Linked DNA regions of Saccharomyces cerevisiae S288C. The gene in region 4 interacts genetically with the main gene of each other region. Each region holds a gene or a part of one and is shown on either strand. Other genes may lie near its edges.

Region 1 (9,908 bases), on a different chromosome or scaffold from region 4:
CTCATCAAAAAAGTGACCCATTGGTCATATGATAATTTGATTGATTATCTTTCAGTGAACCCTACAAGAGATGAAGTGACCCACTATAAAGTGGATCCGGAAAATGAATCTGATGAATCAATTATTAAATTACACACTGTGAAAGACTTCGGCAGTATCACCTGCTTAGACTATTCAGAATCAGAAATTGGTATGATTGGAGTTGGTGAAAAGAATGGATATTTAAGGATTTTTAATATCTCTGGACAAAATTCCTCATCGCCAGCGAGCCATGCGCCAGTGGGCTTAAATGCCAATAACGAGACTTCTATGACAAATGCCAGCGGTGGTAAGGCAGCTCAGGCGGAAAATATAGTTGGATCTGTCTCAAATTTAAAGGATACCCAAGGGTACCCTGTTTCAGAAACCAATTATGATATACGTGTACGAGCAAAGAAGCAGCGGTGTATAAACTCTCTGGGAATAAATACGAATGGTCTTATAGCAATGGGTCTTGACAGAAATAAGCATGATTCATCTTTACAAATTTGGGACATGAATTATCATGATGATTCGCATGAAACTATCAACCCAATGTTTAGTTATTGCACAAATGAAAGCATAGTATCCCTAAAGTTCCTCAACGATACCAGTGTATTGGCTGCAAGTACGAAATTTTTGAAAGAAATTGACGTCAGATCCCCCAACCCAATTTATCAACATCCGACACGATTGACGTATGATATCAAACTGAACCCGTTTAACGATTGGCAATTTAGTACTTATGGGGATGATGGGACCTTAGCTATTTGGGATAGGAGAAAATTATCTGACCAAGCTTCACTTGGTGATTTAAATGTAGCTTCCCCTTTATTAACTTTTGAAAAATTGGTTGGATCCGGTGCAGCGTCAAGGAAATACATGAACTCTTGCTTTAGGTGGTCATGTGTGAGGAACAATGAATTTGCCACCTTACATAGAGGTGATACCATCAAAAGATGGAGGTTAGGCTATTACTGCGATAGCAATCGTGATATTGCGGCAGATGACGATAACGAGATGAATATTGAGAATTTGTTTGTTTCTTCCGTGCATGACACAAATACGATGTACGATAGAGTTGCTACATTTGATTATATTCCAAGAAGTAATAATGGAACAAGTCTAATCTGTATGAGACAATCGGGAACAATATACAGAATGCCAATTTCAGAGGTATGCTCCAAGGCTATACTCAATAATAGGAACTCTCTCTTATTGTCAAATTTTGAAAATACTGAGATAGATGAAATTAGAGTCAACAATGAGCATGAAAAGTCCAACTTAGAGAATGTAAAAACAATCCTAAAGAATCTATCGTTTGAGGATTTAGATGTTAGCGAAGATTACTTTCCGTCTGGACATGATGAACCTAATAATGAAATTGAGTACTCCGAGTTGAGTGAAGAGGAAAATGAAGGGAGTAATGATGTCCTTGACAGTAAGCGTGGATTTGAACTGTTCTGGAAGCCAGAAAAACTTCTGGAAAAAGATATAAGTGTAATAATGAGGACGCGAGCTTCATTGGGATATGGTTTGGATCCAATGAACACGGTAGAGATGATTGATTCTTCTAAAAATCTACAAAACAATGCTTATATAAGGAACACATGGAGGTGGATCGCGATTGCAAAGGCTTCTGTTGACGATGGTACGATGGTTTCTGGTGATCTTGACTTAGGTTACGAAGGTGTGATAGGTATTTGGAATGGTATAAACGGAATATCGAACCAAGACAGATATAGACAAGAGACAATTCTTTCTGATAAACAACTAAATAAAGAAATGGAAAAAATCATCAAACTAAGAAGGAAAAATAGGGATCGGAACAGTCCTATTGCCAATGCCGCTGGTTCACCAAAGTACGTTCAGAGAAGACTCTGTTTAATTATCTCAGGATGGGACCTTTCCAGATCTGATTATGAAGACAAGTACAACATAATTATGAAAAACGGCCATTATGAAAAAGCTGCCGCTTGGGCGGTATTTTTTGGTGATATCCCAAAGGCTGTAGAAATATTGGGATCTGCAAAAAAGGAAAGATTGAGACTAATTGCCACCGCTATTGCAGGTTACTTGGCGTATAAGGATCTGCCAGGTAACAATGCATGGAGGCAGCAATGCAGAAAAATGTCCTCCGAATTAGATGATCCTTACTTGAGAGTTATTTTCGCCTTTATCGCAGACAATGATTGGTGGGATATTCTTTATGAACCTGCCATATCTTTGAGAGAACGATTAGGGGTAGCTCTAAGGTTTTTGAATGATACAGACCTAACCACTTTCTTAGATAGAACTTCATCTACAGTTATTGAAAACGGCGAATTAGAAGGTTTAATTCTCACCGGAATAACACCTAATGGTATCGATCTACTGCAATCATACGTTAATAAAACCAGCGATGTTCAGAGTGCCGCACTGATATCAATTTTCGGCTCCCCTAGATATTTCCGCGACCAACGAGTAGATGAATGGATACAAACTTATAGAGATATGCTTAAATCGTGGGAATTATTCTCCATGCGAGCCAGGTTCGATGTTTTAAGATCAAAATTATCGAGAACTAAAACTGGTGTATTAACTGCAGACATAAAGCCCCGGCAAATATATATCCAATGTCAAAACTGTAAACAAAACATCAACACTCCGCGCACATCCTCACCTTCTAGCGCCGTCTCTACTAGTGCTGGAAATTACAAAAATGGTGAAGCCTATAGAAGAAATAACGCTGACTACAAGAAATTTAATACTGGAAGTTCTGAAGCACAAGCAGCTGATGAAAAGCCAAGACATAAGTATTGTTGCCCACACTGTGGGTCTTCATTTCCAAGATGTGCCATATGTCTCATGCCTCTAGGAACGTCAAACTTACCTTTTGTAATAAATGGGACGCAATCACGCGATCCAATGCAGACAGAAGACTCTCAAGATGGTGCAAATCGCGAACTCGTAAGTAGAAAACTGAAGTTGAACGAGTGGTTCAGCTTCTGTTTGAGTTGCAACCATGGTATGCATGCCGGTCACGCTGAAGAATGGTTTGACAGACATAATGTTTGTCCCACTCCAGGTTGCACCTGCCAGTGTAATAAGTAGTATTGTACAATAAACCAAATCTTGCAACTTCTCTTTATTCTCACAATATATATACATAACCAAAGAAAAAACGTAATTAGTATAACATTGTATTTATGAGGCATTGCTATCTTCATTACCCAGCCCGCCTAGTTTTAAAGGCGAAAAAAACCGACGAAAAGAGTTAACAAGCGTGGATAATAAAGTTGATCTACTCTATCGAAAGTAATACGACAGGTTCAGGAGCAGTAAAAGAGCTACGATTTCACTGCTATTCAATTTGGCTGAGTAGAGACTGATTATTAACCATTGTAAAAGTCTCTGCCACCACTCGTCCACACTTACGTTAGAGGTATTCAGCGTCGATCCCCTTTCAGTATAGATTTTTAAAACTATATTAGATAATCAATAGGAATAAAACCTAGAACAGTAGCTGCGGAGAGAAGCTCTAGCGAGGAAAAGTAAGTATAGTATCACACATATAGGGAGCAGTTTACAGTCATGAGTTTTTCACAATTGGAGCAGAACATTAAAAAAAAGATAGCCGTCGAAGAAAATATTATTCGGGGAGCTTCTGCCCTCAAGAAAAAGACTAGCAATGTTATGGTCATTCAGAAATGTAATACGAATATTAGAGAGGCACGTCAAAATCTTGAGTACTTGGAGGATAGCTTAAAAAAATTACGGTTGAAGACCGCTCAACAAAGTCAGGGTGAAAATGGCAGCGAAGATAATGAGCGATGCAATTCGAAGGAATACGGGTTTCTTTCTACCAAATCGCCAAATGAACACATATTTTCTCGTTTGGATTTAGTAAAATATGATTGCCCTTCTTTGGCGCAAAGAATCCAATACATGTTGCAACAATTAGAATTCAAATTACAGGTGGAAAAGCAATACCAAGAAGCCAATACTAAATTGACTAAATTGTATCAAATTGACGGTGATCAACGTAGTAGTTCTGCGGCAGAAGGGGGTGCTATGGAATCCAAATACAGGATTCAAATGCTTAACAAAGCTTTGAAGAAATACCAAGCTATTAACGTTGACTTTGATCAATTTAAACACCAACCCAATGACATAATGGATAATCAACAACCGAAATTCCGAAGAAAACAACTGACTGGCGTTCTAACAATTGGAATAACTGCTGCTAGAGATGTTGACCATATACAATCACCGATGTTTGCCAGGAAGCCAGAGAGCTACGTTACTATAAAAATCGATGATACGATCAAAGCCAGAACGAAGCCTTCTAGAAATGACAGGTGGAGTGAAGATTTTCAAATTCCAGTTGAAAAAGGGAATGAAATCGAGATTACTGTATATGATAAGGTGAACGACTCGCTCATTCCAGTGGCTATAATGTGGTTACTGCTTTCCGATATCGCTGAAGAAATTCGTAAGAAGAAAGCCGGACAAACAAATGAACAACAAGGATGGGTCAACGCTTCAAACATTAATGGTGGTTCTTCTCTCGCTAGCGAAGAGGGAAGCACATTGACTTCTACATACTCAAACTCAGCCATTCAGTCTACTTCAGCAAAGAATGTGCAAGGCGAAAATACATCAACTAGTCAAATCAGTACGAATTCATGGTTTGTCTTAGAACCATCCGGGCAGATTTTGTTAACACTAGGATTCCACAAGTCTTCTCAAATAGAAAGGAAGCAGTTGATGGGTGGACTACATCGTCATGGTGCTATTATCAATAGGAAAGAAGAGATATTCGAACAGCATGGCCACCACTTTGTACAAAAATCATTTTACAACATTATGTGCTGTGCATATTGTGGTGATTTCCTTCGGTATACTGGGTTCCAATGTCAAGATTGTAAATTTTTATGTCACAAAAAATGTTACACCAATGTTGTTACTAAGTGTATTGCTAAAACTTCTACTGATACGGATCCGGACGAGGCAAAGTTGAACCACCGTATTCCTCATAGATTCCTGCCTACTTCAAACCGTGGTACTAAATGGTGCTGTCACTGTGGTTATATTTTACCATGGGGTAGACATAAAGTACGCAAATGTTCTGAATGTGGTATAATGTGTCATGCTCAATGTGCTCATTTGGTTCCCGATTTCTGTGGCATGTCGATGGAAATGGCTAATAAAATTCTGAAAACGATTCAAGACACAAAACGTAATCAAGAGAAAAAGAAGAGGACAGTTCCGTCGGCACAGTTGGGGTCATCTATTGGTACTGCCAATGGTAGTGATCTTTCCCCATCCAAATTAGCTGAAAGGGCAAACGCTCCTTTGCCTCCTCAGCCAAGAAAACATGATAAAACTCCTTCGCCTCAGAAGGTAGGAAGAGATTCTCCAACTAAGCAGCATGATCCTATTATTGATAAAAGAATTTCACTACAAACGCACGGGCGTGAGAAACTAAATAAATTTATCGATGAAAATGAGGCCTATTTAAATTTTACAGAAGGTGCACAACAAACCGCCGAATTTTCATCACCAGAGAAAACACTGGATCCAACGTCGAATAGACGTTCCTTGGGACTCACTGATTTATCTATTGAGCATAGTCAAACTTGGGAATCTAAAGATGATTTAATGAGAGATGAACTTGAACTGTGGAAAGCACAACGTGAGGAAATGGAACTTGAAATAAAACAAGATAGTGGGGAAATCCAAGAGGATCTAGAAGTTGATCACATTGATTTAGAGACCAAACAGAAACTAGACTGGGAGAACAAAAATGATTTCCGTGAAGCTGATTTGACAATAGATTCCACACACACAAATCCATTCCGCGATATGAATAGTGAAACCTTTCAAATTGAACAAGACCATGCTTCAAAGGAAGTACTACAAGAAACAGTGTCCTTGGCTCCTACAAGTACTCATGCCTCCAGAACCACTGATCAACAATCTCCGCAGAAATCACAAACCAGCACAAGCGCAAAGCATAAAAAGAGAGCGGCTAAACGTCGTAAGGTTTCATTAGATAATTTCGTATTACTCAAAGTTCTTGGTAAAGGTAATTTTGGTAAAGTTATTTTATCTAAATCAAAGAATACTGACAGGCTTTGTGCCATAAAAGTTCTGAAGAAAGATAATATTATTCAAAATCATGACATCGAGAGTGCAAGAGCAGAAAAGAAAGTATTTTTGTTAGCCACAAAAACTAAACACCCATTCTTAACCAATCTATACTGCTCTTTTCAAACTGAAAACCGTATATATTTTGCTATGGAGTTTATTGGGGGCGGTGACTTAATGTGGCATGTTCAAAACCAAAGACTATCTGTAAGAAGGGCCAAATTTTATGCCGCCGAGGTCTTACTGGCTCTGAAATATTTTCATGATAATGGTGTAATATACCGTGATTTGAAGTTGGAAAACATTCTATTAACTCCAGAAGGTCATATAAAAATTGCCGATTATGGTTTGTGTAAAGATGAAATGTGGTATGGTAATAGAACTTCTACATTTTGTGGCACACCAGAATTTATGGCTCCAGAAATTTTAAAAGAGCAAGAATATACCAAAGCTGTCGATTGGTGGGCATTTGGGGTGCTGCTATATCAAATGCTACTGTGCCAATCTCCATTCTCAGGAGATGACGAAGATGAAGTTTTTAACGCTATCCTTACCGATGAACCCTTATACCCAATAGATATGGCAGGTGAGATTGTACAAATATTCCAAGGCCTATTAACAAAAGATCCTGAAAAGAGGTTGGGTGCTGGTCCCAGGGACGCAGACGAAGTTATGGAAGAACCTTTCTTCCGTAACATCAACTTTGACGATATCTTAAACCTTCGCGTGAAACCACCCTACATCCCAGAAATTAAATCTCCGGAAGATACATCATATTTCGAGCAAGAATTCACCTCTGCGCCACCCACACTTACACCTCTGCCCTCTGTTTTGACAACGAGCCAGCAAGAAGAGTTTAGAGGATTTTCCTTTATGCCAGATGATTTGGATTTATGAAGAAAAGGTCATGCCATGATTTATTTAATTTTATATAAAACATCTAAGCGGAAAAGTTGAACTGTTCCGCTTCATAGGAGGAGAGGGTTTTTTTAATGAGATTTTGTTACATAAACTGAAACTATCCATTTTGATGCAATGCCTCTTTTTTGTTCGTACCTATCTTGGAGCATGCATATGAAAAACCTCGTTTAAGCGATGCGATGCGAAGCCGTATGTTCAACAATGCGCATTCTGTTTACATTATTAAGGAAGCATTTAAGAAACAGCTCAGTATTATATTACTACTAACATATTTCTAAAGTTGACAGATTATAAAAGTTACAAAATTGTCAATTGAACAGATACAAAAATTTTATAAATGTTTAAGAAAAGCAGGCATTTGAAGAATGTGTCAAATGCTATCAAATCCGCGAGAGTTCATGACGTCTCAAATGGTATTAACTCCAAATTTTTCGATACTAAGAAAATATGCACATACGGCATAAATGGACGAATCACTGTTACCACATTCGACTATACTCAAAGCCTTTTGGCAGTTGCAACTACTGCTGGGGAGATACATGTTTATGGGCAAAAGCAAATAGAGGTCGTATTTACGTTAAAAAATCGACCTCAAATTAAACACATGCGGTTTATTAAAGGAATTTATCTGATAGCTGTAGATGAGAAGAGCAACATAATAGTTCTTTCAGTACACTCGAAACAGATTCTAACTACTGTTTTCTGTCCAAACAGCATCACTTGTATTGAGACTGATCCGTCCTTGGATTGGATGCTGATTGGCCTCGAGAGTGGATCCATATTGATCTATGATGTGGATAGAAATCAAATGTCCAAATTGAAAATTGAAAACTTCCAGAAAAGTGTGTTTTTGCCAAAAGAGAGGCTATCACCGGTTATTTCTATCCAATGGAATCCTAGAGACATAGGAACGATACTTATATCATATGAGCATATTACAGTCATATATTCTTTCATTGACTACAAAGTCAAGCAACATTTTTTTTACCAATTAGAACCGTATGCTCCGGGCGGTGATCTATCCACAAACATAGAAAAGAAACGCACTCCAAAGGTCATTCAGTCACTTTATCACCCAAATTCCTTACATATATTAACTGTCCATGAAGATAATTCCTTGGTATTTTGGGATGTCAATAGCGGTAAACTGATTCACGCTAGAAGTATATTTGAAACACATGTGAATTTTCCAAATCCTGCCTTGAAAGACTGTTCCTTTACAGAAACACCCGCTATCTTTAAAGTAAGCTGGCTTTGCCAGCGTAATCCTGAGTATACATCGTTGTTGATTGCAACAAAAGCTACAGAAAATCCCTGTTTACCTCAGGAAATAACCATGATTGACTTAGGCGGCACACCAATGTATTCTGTGACATCATTTGACGCAATGAGCAAGTACTATGCTAAACCGGTTCAACAAAAACTATTTTCGTTGATTGGCAAAGCTCCACTAATAAATTTTCTACCCTTGCCGAAGGCTTCTCCATATTTTGGTGGATGCCATGACACAAACCTCATTTTATTACTTTTAGAAGATGGCGAACTTGAAACATTGATATACCCAGCAGGCTCTTTTAGTTCCAAGGCCTCCATTTTCCCTCGGAGCTTAGCATGGGTTCGACCAACGGTTACTACTTGTATAGCGCAATCAGTTCAAAAAAATCTTTGGCTGGGGATGATGACAATCGCTCAAAGTGAATCGTTTTTAAAAGGTGGTATTCCTGCCACCAGAAATATTAGAAGGCATGAGACCAGATCTGCTTTACTAACTGGGCATAGTAATGGTTCAGTCAGAATATGGGATGCTTCACACAGTGAAGTAACTGACAACGCTGTATTTGAAGTGAATACTGCTAAAGTACTTAACAGAGCTACTAACCTGGCCATAAAAAATATCTCCTTTGCATCGGAAACATTGGAATTGGCGGTATCATCTGAGGTTGGGGATGTTATTCTTTTCAAATTCGAAACAAACAAGTTTTACGGACAACTTCCCAAAAGCGATGCACTGCAATTGAAGTTTAGCAGATTTTCATTGGATGATTCAAAAACTATTTTAGTTGATGTTTCGGATAGAGGGCCTACGAACGTTAAACAAGGCTTTATACCAAGTACGGTAATACATGCTAAAAAAGGTGCGGTGTCCGCAATCATGAATAGTAATATCGGGTTCGTTGCCGTTGGTTTCATTGAAGGAACCTTAATAATATTGGACAGAAGAGGCCCGGCTATAATCTTCAATGAAAATATTAGGGTCATTTCTAAAGCTGGTAGCTCTTACGTTTCAACCGTTCACTTTTGCGTCATGGAATATGGAGATGATGGGTTCTCTAGTATTTTGATGCTATGTGGAACGGATATCGGGGAATTGATGACTTTCAAAATACTGCCTGCAACTAATGGAAGATTTGAGGTTAAATTCACTGATGCAACAAAGACCAACAATCAAGGAAAAATTCTAGGAATAAATTCTTTTGCCAAAGATACTGGCTACAGTTGTTCTGCTACTATATCAAAGATGCAGGGTTTAAGCAAGGGTATCGCAATACCTGGATTTGTTACTATCAGTGGCGCAAATGACATTCGTTTAGTATCACCAGGTAAATCTAAGGACACTCATGCGCTTTTCAAGTATCCAATTGCCACTAGTGGATTATCATTTATTCCCATTATTGACGGTAAAGGAGAAAGAAAGCTTTCAACTATTATGATCGTTTTGCTAATTAATGGAGATATTAAAGTTTTGACAGTACCTGAGCTTAAGGAAGTCAAAAATCTACGCTGCCCGGTCCCTCTAAGCGCTCAATACGTTGAAAATTCATCTATATTAGAAAATG
Region 2 (3,256 bases), on a different chromosome or scaffold from region 4:
AATTGAATGCTTTTTTATTATGCTTTCTTTTGTACTTGCTGACTTTCTCCCTGTCTCTGCGTATATTGCCAAATGTGACAGTTAAGCTTCCATCTAAAGAAACTTCTTCCCAATCAATATCACTTAAATCATCTTCTTCATCCTGGTAAAAACTATCAAAAGAATCATCTGTTTCTTCCTCCTCATAAAACGATACTTCTTTCTTCTCAATCTTTGAGTTTTTTCGATTGGCCTGATCATTTTGGCTTGATTCTAACAGTCTCTTGGCCATTACTTTTCTTCTCACTATTCCTTAAACTCATGTATGCTAGGTTTCAAGGTTTGACCCTTCGTTGAATATCGAATTTGGTCATTCACCCTGGCTTGTGTGTTTTCCGTTTTATTATTTACATTTTCCAGAGGGCCACTAGAAAAAAAAAATACTTATCTATCCATATATTTTACAAATGGTAATGTATGTGCATCTGCCAGTACCAAAGGTGGAAAGAAAAGTATACAGTTTATTTATTTGAAGTATGATAAATTTTTTGGCTTGATGTCAACTGGCTGTAAGTTTTTGTCCAATGGGTCCATTTTTCTTTTGGCTTTAGATCTACATCTATTATATTCACGTGCAACGCATTTTCAGCACTGTTCCATTCAATGAAACATGTCACGTCTCTGAGTGTCATGAGTAGCAGATGCTCATCGTTTACATCGTTGATTGATTTTATGTCACTTATTGGAGTTGTGTTCTTTGTAAGTTTTTTCTGTAAATCATAAAGGATCTTGAAAATGTTATTGTCATTGCGCAAGTACTCATGCATGGCATCTTTAAACTTAACCGGAAATATATTACATTCTCCAAATATTAATTCCAAGTGTGCTGGATTCATTAGTAATTGATTGTAACAGTACTTAGTGCCTCTACCCTTAAATGCATTATGAGTACAGTTCCTACAGTAATCTGTATCATAGTATAACCATTTAGGCTTCAATTCTAAAATAACTGTTTGCAGATTTTGTGAACAATAAGATTTTAAAAAGTGGTTATTTAATATCAGATTTGAGGTATTATTGGTGAGATTTTTAATTTTGATAACTTTGACTACCTTATCGTCTAAATTTAGAATAAAGTCACTGAGAATTGGCCTTATAGCTTCTATATCGACGTCAATCAGATACATCGGGCAAAGCAAGCCATGTAGAAGAGGTTCTACATAATCTTTAATATAACTGATGTTTTTGATTGTATAAGAATTATTTGATGATAACAGATCGGGCCAACGGATGCAGCATCGCCACAACCACGTAGGATCCCCATAATCAATCAGTATATTTGCCCCACCACGTCCGATGACTTGCATCGATCTTTCTTTTCAAAAAAGGAACTTATCTCTGACAATTTTCGACTGGTAGCATATCACGGTTCGAATTAATTTTGGAAACCCTAAATGGGACCGCATCAAAAAAGTACCTTGTGAAAATATCTTCGATAAATAAACCACTGAGGAACGAACAAGAAAACCATAAGTAAGTGAGGATGATCGTATTTCGTCGCTTTCCTACGTGCCTTTTACATCACATTCGACAACCGGCATCCAGGAGTCTTTTGTTGGAATCACAAAGGCGATCATTATCTTTTACATCTTATAAATATAACAGCAGCCACATTGATGATGATAAAAGTAAAAAAAAGCTTAAAAATGTTTTCCAAATGAATAGCAATAGAGTCATTCGTAAGCAAAAAACAAAAGAAGAATTGGCCAAAGAGAGGTTCGAAGAACAACTGAGGTCACCTAATAGATTTGTGAGGTGGGGAGCTATTGCGAGATCAGAAAAGTTTTCAAAGGGAATGACCAAGTACATGATCGGTGCTTATGTGATATTTTTAATCTATGGTCTCTTCTTTACCAAAAAACTGTTTGCGAAAGACAAAGAACTGGAAAGATTGTTGAAGAAACAAGAAGAAGGGAATGCCAATGAATACGAAGCATTAAGGATTAAAGAATTGAAAGGAAAACTAAGGAGGAGAGATGAATTGAAATTAGAAGAATACAAAAAAATGCAAGAAGAAGGCATTGAAAACTTCGATGATATTCGGGTACAGAATTTTGATCAAAACAAATTGAATGAACAAATATTGCCAGCAAGAGACACAACAAACTTTTACCAAGAAAAAGCTAACGAATATGATAAGGCAATTAATATGGAAGAGAGAGTAATATTTCTCGGTAAAAGAAGGAAATGGTTAATGAAACATTGTCAAGGGGATGTTTTGGAAGTTTCATGCGGTACAGGAAGAAATATCAAGTACCTTGATATGTCACGCATCAACTCTATAACATTCTTAGACTCTTCTGAAAATATGATGGAAATTACACATAAAAAATTCCGAGAAAAGTTTCCTAAGTATAAAAAAGTTGCATTTGTTGTTGGAAAGGCGGAAAATCTAGTAGACTTAGCAGAGAAAGGTAAGCCCTCTCTAGAGAATGAAAAGGAAAACCAAGTAAAATATGATACTATCGTGGAGGCGTTTGGTTTGTGTTCCCATGAAGATCCGGTTAAGGCACTTAATAATTTTGGCAAGTTATTAAAGCCAGATGGAAGAATTATTTTACTGGAACATGGTAGAGGTCAATACGATTTTATAAATAAGATATTAGACAACAGAGCTGAAAGAAGACTGAATACTTGGGGCTGTCGATGGAATCTCGACTTAGGCGAAGTGTTAGATGATTCTGACCTAGAATTGGTGGAAGAAAAACGGACTCACTTAGGCACTACTTGGTGTATCGTTGCAAAGAGAAAAGGTGATGTGAAAAAGAAAGACGAGCTTGGGTTTGTAGAAAAATACTTGCAATCAAGTATTAGAAAGAGAATGGAATCATTCGAAAAAAAAGACGATATGGCATCTAAAAAAGAACTTGAGCCAGTACCTCCTGTAAGTAAAAGTTAACATATTTATTCATACCAATGAATTTTATACAGGCTTAGAATCGTGTAAATATTTCAGTAAGCAAGTTAAAATGTGATCTAAAACCCCTTAGGTAGTTCTCCTTACTTCTAAAGTGATCATACTGACCATATGTGACGTAACGACGCTATTATTAACAATCCAAAAATTGCGTCACTGGGAAAAAATAAAAATGCGAACTCTGTGGATCGAACACAGGACCTCCAGATATCTTGACCAAAGTTTTTTCTTCAGTCTGGCGCTCTCCCAACTGAGCTAAGTCCGCTAACATAAGACGGAACTTCATGGGTGGTCTGTCTT
Region 3 (9,592 bases), on a different chromosome or scaffold from region 4:
GAAGTTAGCATGTCCAAGCATTCGATGTATTAACGGATATGGATATTTATTTACGCTTTTGCTTTTGTTGACGTTGTTTATTGTTAGCTTTGAAATGTGCGAAGGAATTAGGTATTTTTTAGATAACCAGTAAAAGTCTCCATGTTTGACTATGGGAGCTAGTACTGTACCATCCGATCTTTCTAAAGTGTTTCTGGTAAAGCAGGCAGTAATATTTTGGTTAGCCAGCTCACTCAAACTTAATAGATCATAGGCTATGTTTGGTGTGTGTAGTGCTTTTATTGATGTTTTGGTGCCGTTCTGAAAGTTGAAGTGAAGATTACCAATGGCATTTATAGGAATGTCTTGTTTTTGAGCATCGACTATGTTTATTTCAGAATTGGGTGTTGCATGGTGTAAATAATGGGCTGATCTGACAAGCGTTTGCGAAGCTCCTGAATCAATAAGAAGGTGATCAGGTAGTTCGTCATTCGAGTCTATTGTGTGTGTTGGCTTAGATTCTTTCTGTTGCTGGCCTAAGACTAAGTTCGTTGTCATCGCTTAAGTATTGTGATGAAACGGTTGATTCATTAATGTGATCATTGTTCACCCTTGAGAATTTACTAGATGTAGCAATATTGTGAGCTTTTGCTGCTCTTGGTTTTGAACTATTTGTTCTATGATAATTACGAGTTGTAACCTTTGTGTTAGTCGTGTTTGGAGATGTGCGAGAAACATTTTTGTATTCGCTGTGTTGTTTGTATTGGGACGGTTTATTTAGATTCATGATTTTATTTTCGTCATATATTAATTGAATTTCAGCGAATAATTGGGAAAGTTTCATGTTCGTTTTGGTACGATATTGATTACGTAGGTATTTGAAGTCACCGGATAGACCTTTAAGTATTAGTTGACAGGCCAATCTGTCGCTAACATTGATATTGTTTTCTTTTAGCCTCTGAATGATCGTACTGACTGTAATTTCAAATGTATCAGCAGATGTACTTCCGTCGTACTCAAGGTTGGCAAGAGCTATCCAATCCTTTAATTCTTGATTGTTAGTTTGCATTTTGGACACACTTTTACAAAGGACTGTAAGGATGTCAGCATAATTAATTTCTAAAATTTGTTTTACCCATGTTGGCAATAAATGAAATGGGGCAAATGCTTGGAAGGTATTGTATATATACGCATGTTCTTCATAAGTCATTTGTCTTTTGATTTCACCCTGGTCATTTGGAATGATGTCACCGAGATTAGAGTTCTTCAAAAATCTGATGTAAAATTTAACCCATGTAGAAAAGTTTTCTTCTGATGTTAAAGTGTGTGGTGGTAAGACGTTATTTCCCACCTTTGTCTTAGCTTGAGGTATTTCAGAGTGTTGATTTTTTAAATCGATTGGATCAGGTGAGGAAGTACTCAGTGGTGGGATATACTGTGGCAACGGATAGTGTGGGTCCGGTTGATAATACGCAGGTGACGTTTGATAATGTGAACACGTCATCATAGATGGTTGTTGGTAATGTGCCCAGTTAGAGGCCATAGCTTTGTTTGGGGTCATCATGCCGTGCTGTTGGTACTGTCCATTCTGTGGAGGTGGTACTGAAGCAGGTTGAGGAGAGACATGATGATGGTTCTCTGGAACAGCTGATGTCCCAGGTGTTGTCTCTTGTTGAGAATTAACCTTAGTGGAATCTCTATCAAATTCCGGTAAATTGGAAGCTGAAACGGCTAACGGATCTTGATTTGATGGGACTTCCTTAGAAGTAACCGAAGCATAGGCGCTACCATGAAGAGAATGTGGATTTTGATGTAATTGTTGGGATTCCATTTTTAATAAGGCAATAATATTAGGTATGTAGATATACTAGAAGTTCTCCTCGAGGATTTAGGAATCCATAAAAGGGAATCTGCAATTCTACACAATTCTATAAATATTATTATCATCATTTTATATGTTAATATTCATTGATCCTATTACATTATCAATCCTTGCGTTTCAGCTTCCACTAATTTAGATGACTATTTCTCATCATTTGCGTCATCTTCTAACACCGTATATGATAATATACTAGTAACGTAAATACTAGTTAGTAGATGATAGTTGATTTTTATTCCAACAAGAAGGTTGCTCTTTATATAGGTATATGTCACTAATTAATGTGCTCTGACGCATATCCTTATGGCGCTAATTTGCTCGTCTAAGGGTTCAACGAAAACTCCGGACCTAAAGATCGCGAGCAAAATTCAATTAAGTTTTTTTTTTTTAAAAAAAAGTTGAGTAAATACTTATTTAGTTTTGGGTTACTAAATTAAAAATTGGGTGTGATCACTAATCTAATGTCTTGTTAACGGAGGTAGATGATGAAGATCCGGACGAGGCAGGACGTTTCAACTTCTCAACAGATACCGACTTTCTTCTGGTTTTGCGTTTCTGGAAACTCAAGTTGGGGCTCGTAATGTTTACTGGTGTAAATTTCGGAGGCATAATGACCCTGGTAAATTTGTTTCTCAATTTCTGTTGAACATAGTCCATATCCAAATGCTTCGTCAGGGAAATCTTTGGAATACAACTAATATAATGCCTGTCATCTAATTGAACATCTAACGGATCTTGAGTATGACACCCAGGAGACATTTTTAGTCTAATGGAATGCGATTTTTGACCAGAAGCATCCGTACTCTCATAAAGTTCAAAAGTGATCTGCGACAAGTAGTCTAGTTCTGGTAAAGCATTTCTAGCGATTCTCATTGGAATACCAGATTCGTATATGATATTCAATAGAGTGTAAATATGGGACTCTTTGGTGAAGTACGCAACACAAGCTGGAGTTTCTCTATTTTTCATGTCTCCTATATCATTTAGTATTTGCTTTGCCAAAGGCAACGAAGTTAACAAACCGATATCCAGTTTCTCTGCATCTGAAATACCATATTCTTTGGGGCAGATAAAATCAAACAATACTTTGGCCAGCTTATACAGCTCCCGCAACTGCATAAAGCGTGGCTCATCGAATTGAGAAGAAGATTTGGGGTTTCTTGCTGTAGATGTTTTTCCGCTTTCCAGAACCCATCCTAACGACCCAACACTATTACTACTGTTCTTTCCAGAATTGTTCATGCTATGACTGTCTATTATCTTAAAATTATTTTTGGCGAGAACGTTAATTGGGTATCGGTCAACTAAAGAATGACTGCCGAGTTCATCGGCGATAGCTTCATTTGGAAGACCCGGGTCAAATATGTTCTCTAGGAACTGCCTGTTGTGAAGAGCATCATACTTCATAGTATCATACAATTCAGAAATTTTAGAAGGATCGACTTTTTCAGCATTATTGAATTCTTTGAAAAGTTTATCCCACCTTTCCTTAAACAAACTAGGATCTTCAGAAGTACACCATCTTGTTTGCATCGAGTTGACATCCTTTTTAGCAAAGTTGTTATCCATAATTTTTTTATGGTAATTCATCAATTCAACCACTCGCTTTATGACTAAATATGGCTCCGGCATCTTTGAAGGCCAGGCAAATTGTGGGGGAGCTTCCTTACCCTCTCTTAAAAGTGGCTTCAACTTCTTTTTCACCTTATCCATTAAATCTTTGGCGGCATTACTGTCATCTAAAAGATCCTTTCTAATACTGATTTCATCGCTACCTAATTCATCGGCCCCAAAAAGAGCTCTGGTCCAGTACTGCGCCGTATGAAGAACACGTCTCTCAGACGATGAAAATATCTTGATGTTTTGTAGAATGCTCTTATTCAATAGGTCAAAATCTTGTCTCATTTGCTCTCCGAGTTCCGTAGCCTGATATTTGGCAGAATGAGTGGGTTCACCACCCCATTTCAAAATAAACTGAACTTTTTCCACTTCGTTCTCTTTATTTAAAACCGGTTTCAATTGTATTTTCGTACCGGGAAAATTCAGTTTCTTTTCTAGAGCGTTTGCTAACACTTTAATTTTAGCTGGATTTCCTGCTTTTTCATCTAACGCAATTCTTAAGGCCTGAAGAACAATCTTTAAATCATTTACATTCCGAATGACAACTTCTTCTTTGTGACCTTTTAGTAACGATATAAAAATAGGCGAAGTGAATGAATGTTTGAATTTCTGTTTTGGTGTTCTGTCCGCGTGACGGATAATGATAGCCAGTCCTTTGAATACCCACTTTTGTTCCTTTTCTTCACGAATAATGGGCAGATTCTTCTTTTCCATATCCATCTTCTTTTTGGCTTCAATGAAGGTACTTCTCAATATATTGGCGCATGAATCATAGTAAGCTTTGTTATCCTTTACAAAAGAAAATCCGTTAACATCAATGACGTAACTTTTACCAGAAACGCGAAGCAAATCGAAACCACAGATCATTTGTGAAAAAGCTTTGGAAACTTTCCCAGCAATGGTTTTCTCTTCGTCTGATAACTCAGTAATATATCTAACTTCTTTACCATGAGTATTTCTTCTAACTATACCATCAACCACAGGTGATTTCCTAGTTTCAGCGTGACAAAAGTTCTCACCAATCGTATAAGCCTTCACATCTTCGAAATTATCGGTATCCATAAACTGCTCATAAATGTAAGACCCCTCCGTACGAGGATGAACCAAAGTAGGATCAAACTCAGAAGACTTGTTACCAACTTTACGGAATAGACGACGACCGCCTCCTCCGTTCTTAGAATGATAGTATATATAAATGTTGTGGTCTTCACCATCAACGGGCTTTTCAACAAAGGGCTTAGTCATGGTTTTCCCATCAACTTCTAAAGTATCATCATCAACCATTTTCCATTCCGGTTCTTCAACGGGTTTAACTTCTACGCCATGCTCACGTAATTTTGCCCTTAATTCTTCGTTGGCACGGGGACCACCATCTCTACTGATTTCCAGTCTAGGAGGTGTTGGAACGTTGTAGGCTTCTAATACTTGTAGACATAATCTCCTGTCCCACAAAATCTTTTGCATTATTAAATCATTGATAATGAAAGGCTTGCGTAACTTGACGTATTTAATTGCTTTATCTAGGGGAAATCCTGAAGAAAAGAAAGATATCAAAAAGTCGCAAGTTGGCCAATTCTCTATTCTTTCATCTAGAATCACCTTATCTCCAAAAATGACAGTTTCAAATTCACCATGTTCAATTAAACGATTCAAAATGTGTCTCATTGGCTTTGAAAGGACTTTTGCATCCATTGCACATACCCCAATCTTCCCTACCTTGGGTAGCCTAGGTTTGGGATGACTAGTCGAGGATTTGCGTGAAGAAGCTGATGAAGTAGGTACAGAGTTAGTTCCCATGTTAGTCTGCTCAGCGTCCATTGTTCCTTGAGGTAAATGGGGCGATCCGGTCTTGGAGATGGAATTTATGTTATCTGCATCATTGACTATGTTAGAATTGCTGAGCCCCTCAGGATCAGCTTCTGACTTTGATTCACTGTCTGCCTTTTTTAAACCGGAAGTTGTAACTGTATTGGTGTTGTTTCCGTTTCCTAGTGCAGTGCTTATGGTTCTTTGCAGAGTATCATGCACGGTGAGATTCTCTTCACTGTGATCATCTTGAATACCGGGAGGTGGCAATTTCAAAGACATATTTTCGCTAGCTGACGTCTTAGGACTGAAACCCTCCAATATTGGTGCAATAGATTGCATAGCCTTCTGTGTGTTTTTGTTTAGGAAAAGGGGTGACATCTCAGAAGGTGCACTAGGTAAGTTATTTTTTGTCTCTTGTTGAGGAACCTCATCAGATTCAATCGGTTCCTTCTTTATCCCACTCATGACCTTCTGCAATATATTAATATGCTACGAGATGCTTTTGAATTTGTATGAAATGCTCAGTGGGTAATTTAAGTGGTGAACATATTGATTCAATGATTAATTGCATTTTTCCTATCTTAAATAAATGATTTTCTAAAAACATTTTTGAGCACGTGCTTTTTTTTTTTTAACTGAAAAATTTTGAGAAAAATTTCGCGATGAGATTGCTAATGAAATTTAATAAGTCCTAAGCACAATAAATATACAGCGAAACAGCAGCAAGGAATAAGACACTGAAAAGGCTATAGCGAGTTAGGAATAGTACATTATGTCTATCGACTTGAAAAAAAGAAAAGTCGAAGAAGACGTAAGAAGTAGAGGGAAAAATTCTAAGATATTTTCCCCTTTCCGGATTATTGGTAATGTTAGCAATGGTGTTCCTTTTGCTACTGGTACATTGGGATCTACCTTTTACATTGTAACGTGTGTTGGTAAAACATTTCAGATATATGATGCGAATACCTTACATTTACTTTTTGTTTCCGAGAAAGAAACACCATCCTCAATTGTAGCATTATCAGCACACTTTCACTACGTCTACGCAGCATATGAAAACAAGGTTGGTATTTACAAGAGGGGTATTGAGGAACATTTGCTTGAGCTAGAAACTGATGCAAATGTCGAACATTTGTGCATATTCGGAGATTATCTTTGCGCTTCCACCGACGACAATTCCATCTTTATATACAAGAAGTCCGATCCGCAAGATAAATATCCATCAGAATTCTACACTAAACTTACCGTTACTGAAATTCAAGGTGGCGAAATTGTGTCTTTACAACATTTGGCAACTTATTTGAATAAATTAACTGTCGTTACCAAATCTAACGTTTTACTTTTTAACGTCAGAACCGGGAAGCTTGTATTCACATCAAACGAATTTCCAGACCAAATCACAACTGCTGAACCCGCTCCAGTCCTGGATATTATTGCTCTAGGTACCGTGACCGGTGAGGTTATTATGTTTAATATGAGAAAAGGTAAAAGGATCCGCACAATTAAGATTCCGCAATCAAGAATCTCCTCATTGAGTTTCAGAACCGACGGTTCTTCTCATTTGAGTGTGGGAACGAGCAGTGGTGATCTAATATTTTATGATTTAGATCGCCGTTCAAGAATACACGTTTTGAAGAACATTCATAGAGAATCGTACGGTGGTGTCACTCAGGCTACTTTTTTAAATGGTCAACCCATTATTGTTACATCAGGTGGTGACAATTCCCTGAAGGAGTACGTTTTCGATCCGTCATTATCTCAAGGAAGCGGTGATGTAGTTGTTCAACCGCCAAGATATCTACGTTCCAGAGGGGGTCATTCTCAACCACCTTCATACATTGCGTTTGCTGATTCGCAATCACACTTCATGCTATCAGCATCCAAAGATAGATCATTATGGAGCTTTTCTCTGCGTAAAGATGCACAGTCGCAAGAAATGTCACAAAGGTTACACAAGAAACAAGATGGCGGCAGGGTAGGTGGTAGTACAATTAAGTCTAAATTTCCTGAAATAGTGGCTCTTGCAATTGAAAATGCCAGAATAGGTGAATGGGAAAACATTATCACTGCACATAAAGATGAAAAGTTTGCAAGAACCTGGGATATGCGAAATAAAAGAGTTGGCAGGTGGACTTTTGATACTACTGATGATGGATTTGTTAAATCTGTGGCCATGTCGCAATGTGGTAATTTTGGATTCATCGGTTCTTCTAACGGCTCTATCACCATCTATAATATGCAAAGTGGTATACTCCGTAAAAAATACAAATTGCACAAAAGAGCAGTCACCGGTATATCCTTAGATGGTATGAATCGTAAAATGGTTTCTTGTGGACTAGACGGTATTGTTGGTTTTTATGACTTTAACAAGTCAACCTTGTTGGGAAAATTGAAATTGGATGCACCTATTACCGCAATGGTTTATCATCGTTCTTCCGATCTATTTGCATTGGCTTTAGACGACTTATCAATTGTTGTTATTGACGCAGTTACTCAAAGAGTTGTTCGTCAATTATGGGGTCATAGTAATAGAATAACTGCATTTGATTTCTCACCTGAGGGCCGTTGGATTGTTTCCGCTTCTCTAGATTCCACCATTAGAACGTGGGATCTTCCAACCGGAGGATGTATCGATGGTATCATAGTAGATAATGTCGCTACGAATGTAAAGTTTTCTCCGAATGGTGACTTGCTTGCCACTACCCATGTTACTGGTAATGGTATATGCATCTGGACGAACAGAGCACAATTTAAGACAGTATCGACAAGAACCATCGATGAGTCTGAATTTGCAAGAATGGCGTTACCTAGCACATCTGTTCGAGGGAACGACTCGATGTTATCAGGGGCTTTAGAAAGCAATGGAGGAGAAGACCTAAATGATATTGATTTCAACACTTATACATCATTGGAACAGATTGATAAGGAGCTGTTGACTTTATCAATAGGACCTAGAAGTAAAATGAACACATTGCTTCATTTAGATGTTATCAGAAAACGTTCTAAGCCAAAGGAAGCTCCAAAGAAATCAGAAAAGCTTCCATTTTTCTTGCAACTATCTGGGGAAAAGGTTGGGGATGAAGCCTCTGTCAGAGAAGGCATAGCACATGAAACACCAGAAGAAATCCATCGCAGAGATCAAGAAGCACAAAAGAAGTTAGATGCAGAAGAGCAAATGAATAAATTCAAAGTTACAGGAAGATTAGGGTTTGAATCACATTTCACAAAGCAATTACGAGAGGGCTCACAATCCAAGGACTATTCATCATTGCTGGCCACTCTAATAAATTTCTCACCTGCTGCAGTGGATTTGGAGATAAGATCATTGAATTCCTTTGAGCCATTTGATGAAATTGTGTGGTTTATCGACGCGTTAACACAGGGGTTGAAGAGCAATAAAAATTTCGAACTTTATGAAACGTTTATGAGCTTACTGTTTAAGGCACACGGTGATGTTATTCATGCTAACAACAAGAATCAAGATATTGCCTCTGCTCTTCAAAATTGGGAGGATGTACATAAGAAGGAAGACAGATTAGATGATCTTGTGAAGTTTTGCATGGGAGTGGCAGCTTTTGTGACCACCGCGTGAGCATTATATAGAACAAGTATATTAGTAACAAAGGCAGATTGTATATTTTTCTTTTTCCTATGATGTTTTTTGAGAGGGTAACCAAGAATTATTTATTGGGTTTGTTGCAGTGTTCTTAAAGGGTCCCTCCCACATTTAATAAATGATCGACAATAAATAAATGTTCCTTACATTCTCAATGTGTGTGAACTGGATAATCGTAAAAATGCCAAACAGGTCTGAAGAACTTGACCGATTACTCGACAAAATAATCAACTCTCCGCATAGAACAGAAGCCTCGAAGACTTTGCAAGAAATTGAAAATAATCAATCATATATTTTAAATGTACAGTTGAAGAAGTTATTGCGACTTCATGACGACTCATTTAAAAATAAGTGTGTTTCTCCTATTAACTATATGTTGGAAAAGTACACTCCGTATATGGGGCATACCGAAGCATTACAAAAGGAAGCAGAGCTTGTGGATAGGGATCTCCGAATCCTTGAAATGACGTACCAACTGATAGAAAAGAATCGCAACTCGAAATAAAACGATAAATATATTCAATGTTTTTAAATTAGTACTATTATTATATGTTATTATTAATGGAATGAATCAATACGTATTTTATACAGAAATAAGATTTGAGAAAGAAGGGTAAGAAAAAAAAGAAGAATAAGTAAATGACGAAGTTCTTTAACTGAGTTAAAGTTGTGTAATGCAAATTTGAAGA
Region 4 (7,546 bases):
TCTCTCCATCTGCACCATACATTGGTGCGTCAAACAAGTTCCTGTTACATCTGCACTCTGGACTAGGGTTAACAGGGTCTTGGACTTCCCATCCAAGAATATACTCTTGTCTAAACGAATAGATGCCTCTGTACTCTGTTAGTCTTAGTAATGAAATGAGACCCAATTGTGAAGCCACGGCTATGCAATTTAGTTCTTTGATGTGACACACAAAATTTATTCTGTTTAGTGCTTGGAGCAGCGACTTGGAAGCACACGTCACAACACCATCTAAGGGAAAAATCTCATGATGAGTTGCTGATATAATTATGAGTGGATTTGCTTTCATCAACACCAGCCTATGGGCTGTGGTTAGGAAGAAGAACTCGTCGTGCATTTCGGATAGTTGATACCCAAGAGGCGAATCTTCTGAGCCCGGTACTGCTGACTCTAATAACCGCTTGACGTTTCTTACATAGTTGTGGAACCCCCAAGATTTCTGCGATTCTGATTTCAAGTGAGCACGCTGTTCAGTATCCCTATATCTTCGCTGGAAACTTGTTAAGCTGCTACCAGATTCTTCATTTTCAGGGTCGCTATTGACATCGTCCTCTTCTGTAGAGTTCAGTTGAAGGCTACAAATTTCTGGGTCCTTCAAGACCGTGTTCAAATCCTTGCCAAAAAGTGTTCTCCAATCGGCAGCGGCATCGGTGTTGTACCATAAAAAGTTTCCCGATTCAATATTTGGTATATGATTTACTGAACTTAGCGATTTGAACTCTTTTGAAGTTCGTAGTTGTCTTTGTTTATCCATTTTCAAATTACGAATACTTCTATTAAATTCGCGAGATATATCTTCAATATCATTTTCGAGATCAGTAAGTTTATAAGTAGACGGCTCACAGATCTTTCTCCCAGAAGTGTTTTGATATTGCGATGTTTTATTTCTTCCACTAGGAGTTATCAACTGTGGAAAAGTATTAATAATATCCTTGTATTTCGAAAATCCACGCTCAGTAGCACGATAATGTTTATAACCAGAATCCTCCCAAAATGTCCATTGGTGTAAATGCTGTTCACATGAGGTGTTTTTTGTCACTGCATCATTCATATCGTCTAAGTCACCGGCATGTAAAATAAGTGCAAAATCCTCTCTGCTGTACTCGTATTTTATCGAGCCCGTTGTAGTGTAATTTCTATCAAATGAGGTAAATCTTAATGGTATAACTTCATCGGGGATCCCTGCTGAAGAAGTCAGTCGTAGGTCTGTGACAGGAACCTGAAATTGATTGAGTAATGTACCAATACCGAAATTCCCAGAGAGGTAGGCGTTATCACAGTAATACCCAAGTAAAAAATCATCTCGGCAAATAGAATATAACATGCTTTCTTTGAAACCGTCTTGGTAGTTAAGATTCAACAATTCGAAATTGTCAACTTTCGCAAAATCCTTCTTAGTCAGTGGAGTTATTGTCCATAAGTCGTCGCCAAAAAATTGAGTATCAAGGAAACTCGTTAAAATGGTACAATCATGCTCCTTTAATTTAACGGTAACAACATTCCCAAATATAGAACAATAACTTAATGTAATATATCCAACAGAATCTTTTGAATTAGGAACAAAGTTAACACAAGGAACATTGTGAGATGAGGGAAGATCTAGAGGCCGAATGTACCGTCTTTCCTTCTTTACATCTTTATCGAATGCAAAGACTGTAACTCCAGGCTTGTTATGGCCAACAGCGATATATATGATGCCATTTATATCTATTACATCAACACTCCAACAAGATTCCTCTACTCTTAACACCATATATGGATCAACATTTATGTATCTTTCCCGGCTGTTATCTTTGCCTCCCAAGATATCCGAAGTAAATTTATTAAATATCTTAATAACTTTGTTGATTTCCCAGATATAAACGATTCCGTTGTCACCGCAAGCTAGTAGAAAATCTTGATGCATGAAGTTACAAATCTTCATAAAGTTGATAGAACATAGTTCAGGTATGCTGTTGAACTGTGTATCCTTAAATTTCACATATGATGAATTGCGGAAGTTTCTTACATCTCCGTCATCTGGTATTATCACGGGCAATAAGGCGTGACATATTTCTAATGACGAAACGTTCAATAGTATATCGAAATTATGAACTTCGACGCATTGACCGGCAGCCAGGAAGGAATAACTCCCATAAGTGACGAACAAATTGTTCTTGAACTGCAAACCACCATAAGCAAACCTATTTGTGTATTGAAAAGGTGCGAACTCTAGTGGTATCTCTTGAACAAGTAGTTTTTCGTCCTGTGGCAATAGTAATTCAGCTGGATTCAAAAGCCTTGATGGTCCCCAGACGGGTTCTAAGTTGGAAAATGCAGATTTAGTATCCTCCAAGAAGGCTTTCTTGAATGAGTAAGCAGGATTTGGGATTTTCCATGAAGAGTCATGTTCTTCTAGGTTGTGTAATCGTTCTTTAATAAACTCCACGGTTTTTGGATGAAACGAATTGCAACTGGAGTTTGGCCACTTGAGTTGATAATATTTCTTTAACGTTATTATCTCATTCGTTATATTCCAGCCACCAGACGCCAGAAATACTTCTGAGTCAAAGCACTCTCTTGTCGATACTGCCCTTTGTATGATGGCCCGAGACTTAAGCCACCTTGTAAAGAGATCATCATTTTCATTGGGAATCTGAGGGGGCATTATATTCAAAACCAAATTTTCAAGCCTAGAAGTACCAGTGCCTCTTGATTGCGCTGTTGATCTTCATTACTATGGTGTTTTTGGTGTCTTGTATGGTTTTTCCATGTTTTTTCCCTGTTTTCTTTTCAATGAAAAACTAAATTGCATGTCTCTCATAATAGAAAATATTCAATATTAACAAAATGTGCATTCTAAAGGAAATTACTATAAAAAATACAGGCATGATAAAAATATATGTACACAAAAATTACGGGCTAGTACCTCACCTCGTAAGAACCGGCTTTCGATATATATTTAATCCATTTTACAGCACGATGCTTACTGTCTTTTCCAGAAATGGTAAAGTATCGTACGACTAAGCCAGAATTACTGAACATCATGACCTCGAATTCCAGGGATATTGGAGGTCTTGTCCATTGTTGAAGATTCAATTGAGTAGTATCACTTGTGGACACAGTAACTGCACTTAAAGTGTTTTCCGTCAACCCATTGTACTTGTTGAACCTCCAAATCATTGCATTTTCTTCTGGCACAAACTTACAGTGGCCATTAGAGACACTTATCTTACAATCCACAGTGCTTGGTGGAACGGGTATATGTAGTACCACATCTTTGGCGGAAAGTTTTCCAGGAAATAAAGACTTCAATGTTATCCTGTAATCAATCTCGTTATCTCTTGTAGAATGTGTAACAATAGGTGTAACCTTGAACGGCAGGTTTATGTTATCTCGTACATGATATTTCATCAACTCCATCGAACCGTCTGGTGGGACGAATTCAATGATATGATTTCTGTTAAATTTGTCAAGTGAGACACATTCGTGAAACTTGCAATCTTCCAACAAAACACTACCGGCAGCAGCTTTGGGAATGAAGTTCTTGTTTCCAAAATCGCTGCCAGAGTGACGCTGCTGCTGTGCTAACCATTTCTTCTCGTCTTCGGACTGCATTCCCAAAGAATCATTCAATCCAAATCTACAAATAGGGGTCCCACTCAAGTGTGTGGTGATATCTATGGTGCCATCAACGTATGATTTCAAGATAGAACCATCCCTAGATACCAGAATGTTTATCCTCTCATTGACATACAAGAAAACTTCATCCTTCTTGTGTATTATCCCCTTGGGCCTCCAAGTGATCTTATTGTTATCATAGAAATCAGAAGTGGAGTCTCCTTGACCCAGGAAACTACTGCTTCTTTTTGTCAAAAATTTGGGAAAATGTAGTTCTCCTGCTGAAGAAGTAGGAGATGAAGAGGAAGATAATACATCATTTCCATCGGGACTATCTAACAATCCGCCCATATTTCTAACGGGTTTCACAGACATCTGCGCTATAACAGAGTTCAATTCAGTGTCAATTGGTATCCCATTTCCACCCAACATTATATCCAGCATCTCATGCACAATCATGAATTCCTCTTTCAAGGCCTCCTCTCTATCCAATCGATAAGCATTCATCACTGCATCAAGCTTATATAAGAACTCCCAGATCGCCGCACTATTAGCGTTGCTTCTCGTAATGGTTACCAACCACAAATTGTCACCATGCCTCGACCTGATGTGATGGAAAGTAGTTGAGCCCAGTGTCAAAACAGGCGATCTAACATCTAGATTATTGATCACTTGTACTCGGAAGATATCGGATATGGACCGCTTCAACGAGTTCTTGAAGAACTTGTTCAAGACAAGTTCACCTCTCGATGAGTATACCAGCACACCACTAATCATTGCTCACCATAACTCTATGTGATTCTTTTCTCCAACCGTTTATGAAAGGTTTCCACACTTTATCATCAAGTTCTCCTATACTAATCAATTAAGGAAAATATGGCTGTTACCCTTCGACCGCAGTTGAAAAAAATTTTCTATCAAATAATAAATGGCTACGATTAGCGAGAAGGGCTGGATGAGATGAGAGTAAGTTGGTCGAAAGTGACTTTGTTGGAGGTTGCTACGAGGCTAGGAACGCAGTCTGGATGTCAATGAGTAATATTGTTGTTTTTGGAGGGGACTCGCACCCCGAGTTAGTTACTAAGATCTGTGAAAATTTGGACATTCACCCATCGAAAGTAGAATTAGGGAAGTTTTCTAATGGGGAAACGAACATTGCTCTTCGCGAATCTGTTCGTGAAAAGGATGTATATATCATCCAGAGTGGTTGTGGCCAGGTGAACGACACGTTCATGCAGTTGCTGATTTTAATCAGTGCCTGCAAGTCCGCTTCTGCCTCGAGGGTTACAGCCGTAATGCCATATCTCTGCTACTCGAGACAGCCAGATATTCCATATACTGCCAAGGGTGCTCCCATAATTTCCAAGCCTAAAGAAAACTATACTTTTGAATCGCATCCAGGCACACCCGTGTCATCTTCTTTAATGACGCAAAGACCAGGTGCTGAGAGCTCGTTGAAGAGTTTGGATAGTGCAATACGATCAACTATCAACTTAGAAAATCCTCAACCTATCAGAACACCAAACAGCAGTGCTACGGCGAATAACAATTTCGACATCAAGAAGACGCTTTCTTTTTCAAGAATTCCTATGATTCCCGGTGGTAAGTTACAAAATACAAGCAATAGCACGGACGCTGGTGAATTGTTCAACGCTCAAAATGCAGGCTATAAGCTATGGGTAGTACAAGCCGGTACTTTGATTGCTCATTTGTTGAGTGCTGCAGGTGCTGACCATGTGATCACAATGGATTTGCACGATCCACAGTTCCCTGGGTTTTTTGACATTCCAGTGGATAATCTCTACTGTAAACCCATTGCACAAAACTACATCCAGCATCGCATTCCAGATTATCAGGATGCTGTGATCGTTTCTCCAGATGCTGGTGGTGCAAAGAGAGCTACGGCTATTGCAGACGCCTTGGAATTGTCCTTCGCCCTAATTCATAAAGAAAGAAGATCTCAGTTATTGAAGGGCCCTCCAGATGCGACGTTAACCTCTGGTGGTTCGTTACCAGTATCTCCAAGGCCATTAGTTACTACTTTGGTTTCCTCCCAAAATACTACTTCTTCAGGTGCCACTGGGGTTGCGGCCCTTGAAATGAAGAAAACAACTTCAACATCTTCCACCTCGTCGCAATCTTCTAATTCGTCCAAGTTCGTTCAAACTACCATGCTTGTTGGCGATGTTAGAAACAAGGTGTGTATTATAGTCGACGACTTGGTGGATACTTCATACACTATTACAAGAGCTGCGAAATTGTTGAAGGATCAAGGATCTACCAAAGTTTATGCCTTAATAACGCACGGTGTTTTTTCCGGTGATGCGCTAGAAAGAATCGGCCAAAGTAGTATAGATAAGTTGATCATTTCTAACACGGTTCCTCAAGATAGAACACTACAGTACCTAGGTAAGGACAGAGTGGATGTTATTGATGTCTCCTGCATAATCGGTGAAGCAATTAGAAGAATCCATAACGGTGAATCCATTTCTATGTTGTTCGAGCATGGATGGTAGTGGCATTGATGTGTTCATTTTTTTATTGATAAAAATAGGGGAAAGTGTCTATATATTTTGCGTATAAAATTCTCTACATTTTTTTTTCTTTGTTTAGTATGTGTATTGAAACATTTTATTTATAGGTTAGAGAAACAAAAAAAAAAAAACTGCAATTTCTTCTTGTATGTCTGTAGAAAAAATTTTAAGCTGCTCTCCCCTGTGATTTCATGCGTCTGGGACTAATAAGAACGGTGATGATGGTTATTATGATGCATGGGCAATTCTTTTGGCATAATCTCTTCATCTTTTTATGGTCGACGAGGAGCCGTTGGCATCATAATTGGAAGTTCTTGACAAAGAGTCGGTGAAATTAGAACGATCATTGTTGTTAGCGTTTTCGTTCTTAAATTTATTCTTAATACTGGAAAATAAACTTGCATTTGAACTTGAACTTTCTCTATCGTCACTTCGATTAGAATTCTCTTGATTGATATTCTCGTTTCCATATTCACTTTTGGATTCGTCCCAATCTTTTGCGGGGCCAATGATGGTTTTTGGAACACCTTTGACTGTGATGACAGATTCCACAATACCATTCTTCGTATTTTGGTAAGAGGTTGAGATTGTAACGTTTTGATTTTCGTTGCCGTGATTCGCGCCAGAATTTGGAATTGATATACTATCAGGGCTATTTCTCGTGGTTTTAGTCGAGGTAGTAACTTGAGTTGGTTGACCCGACCGTTGAGTATGGAGAACAGCTTGGCGAGATAGCTCTGCATGATCACTTAATAGTTGTTGTTCTTCGGCGGAGAGTGATTTATCATTTGAGTGTGGTGCTGGAGAAGGCTCTTTGCTAGAATGAGGAGTGTGTGTAGTAATGATTTTCGGAACATTGGCAGGCTTTTTAATGGTAACAAAAGATTTATTTACGTTCAACGGGTTGGACGCTAGATTTGAAGGTATGATGGTGCCATGTTCCGTCACTTGTGGAGTTGGAGACAATACAGCGTTGGACCTGTCGTAACCATCATTTGACTTCTGCTTCCAAGACTTATTATTCAAATCTTGCTGTGGGTGCTCGGATGGGTGATTAGAATTGGATGGAGACAAGAGTGGAGACGATTCATCAGCTTGGTCAGCAGCTTTGTGCTCCTTGTGAGAGCTAGTGTACAAATGATGCAAATAGGAAGTAATGTGCCTTTTGCTCAAGGGCCCCGGTTGTTGTCTCATAATATGCTGATGCATGTCCACAAAGACATCAGACTCGTCCACGATTTCTTCACCGATCAATTCTTCAATGACATCCTCCAAAGTTAAAACACCAATAGCGCCATGCGAGGAGCCCGGCTCTTTACTAACGACGCACATGTGAGCTTTCCCCTCCTGGAAGTAATTCAGAATATTCAAAC

Evidence for each region.
Region 1: mutations in PRS5 (region 4) and PKC1 together harm fitness more than expected from each alone (negative genetic interaction), as found in Saccharomyces cerevisiae (2 studies listed by BioGRID).
Region 2: mutations in PRS5 (region 4) and IPK1 together harm fitness more than expected from each alone (negative genetic interaction), as found in Saccharomyces cerevisiae (4 studies listed by BioGRID).
Region 3: mutations in PRS5 (region 4) and VIP1 together harm fitness more than expected from each alone (negative genetic interaction), as found in Saccharomyces cerevisiae (3 studies listed by BioGRID).

What each region holds. Positions count from the first base shown.
Region 1 is NC_001134.8:11,380-21,287, reverse strand, and holds PKC1 (protein kinase C), read left to right. Parts: upstream 1-3,591; coding exon 3,592-7,047; downstream 7,048-9,908. Other genes in the region: SEA4 (Sea4p), read left to right, coding at 1-3,111; putative Rab GTPase-binding protein SRO77, read left to right, coding at 7,409-9,908. UniProt on the Saccharomyces cerevisiae protein: Required for cell growth and for the G2->M transition of the cell division cycle. Mediates a protein kinase cascade; it activates BCK1 which itself activates MKK1/MKK2.
Region 2 is NC_001136.10:1,092,241-1,095,496, forward strand, and holds IPK1 (inositol pentakisphosphate 2-kinase), read right to left. Parts: upstream 1,347-3,256; coding exon 501-1,346; downstream 1-500. Other genes in the region: RAD34 (Rad34p), read right to left, coding at 1-271; OMS1 (putative RNA methyltransferase), read left to right, coding at 1,523-2,938. UniProt on the Saccharomyces cerevisiae protein: Has kinase activity and phosphorylates inositol-1,3,4,5,6-pentakisphosphate (Ins(1,3,4,5,6)P5) to produce 1,2,3,4,5,6-hexakisphosphate (InsP6), also known as phytate.
Region 3 is NC_001144.5:933,701-943,292, reverse strand, and holds VIP1 (inositol polyphosphate kinase VIP1), read right to left. Parts: upstream 5,753-9,592; coding exon 2,312-5,752; downstream 1-2,311. Other genes in the region: YLR410W-A (gag protein), read right to left, coding at 494-1,810; rRNA-processing protein UTP21, read left to right, coding at 6,060-8,879; BLS1 (Bls1p), read left to right, coding at 9,040-9,408. UniProt on the Saccharomyces cerevisiae protein: Bifunctional inositol kinase that acts in concert with the IP6K kinases to synthesize the diphosphate group-containing inositol pyrophosphates diphosphoinositol pentakisphosphate, PP-InsP5, and bis-diphosphoinositol tetrakisphosphate, (PP)2-InsP4.
Region 4 is NC_001147.6:207,580-215,125, forward strand, and holds PRS5 (ribose phosphate diphosphokinase subunit PRS5), read left to right. Parts: upstream 1-4,664; coding exon 4,665-6,155; downstream 6,156-7,546. Other genes in the region: CRT10 (Crt10p), read right to left, coding at 1-2,686; APM4 (Apm4p), read right to left, coding at 2,941-4,416; MAM3 (Mam3p), read right to left, coding at 6,438-7,546.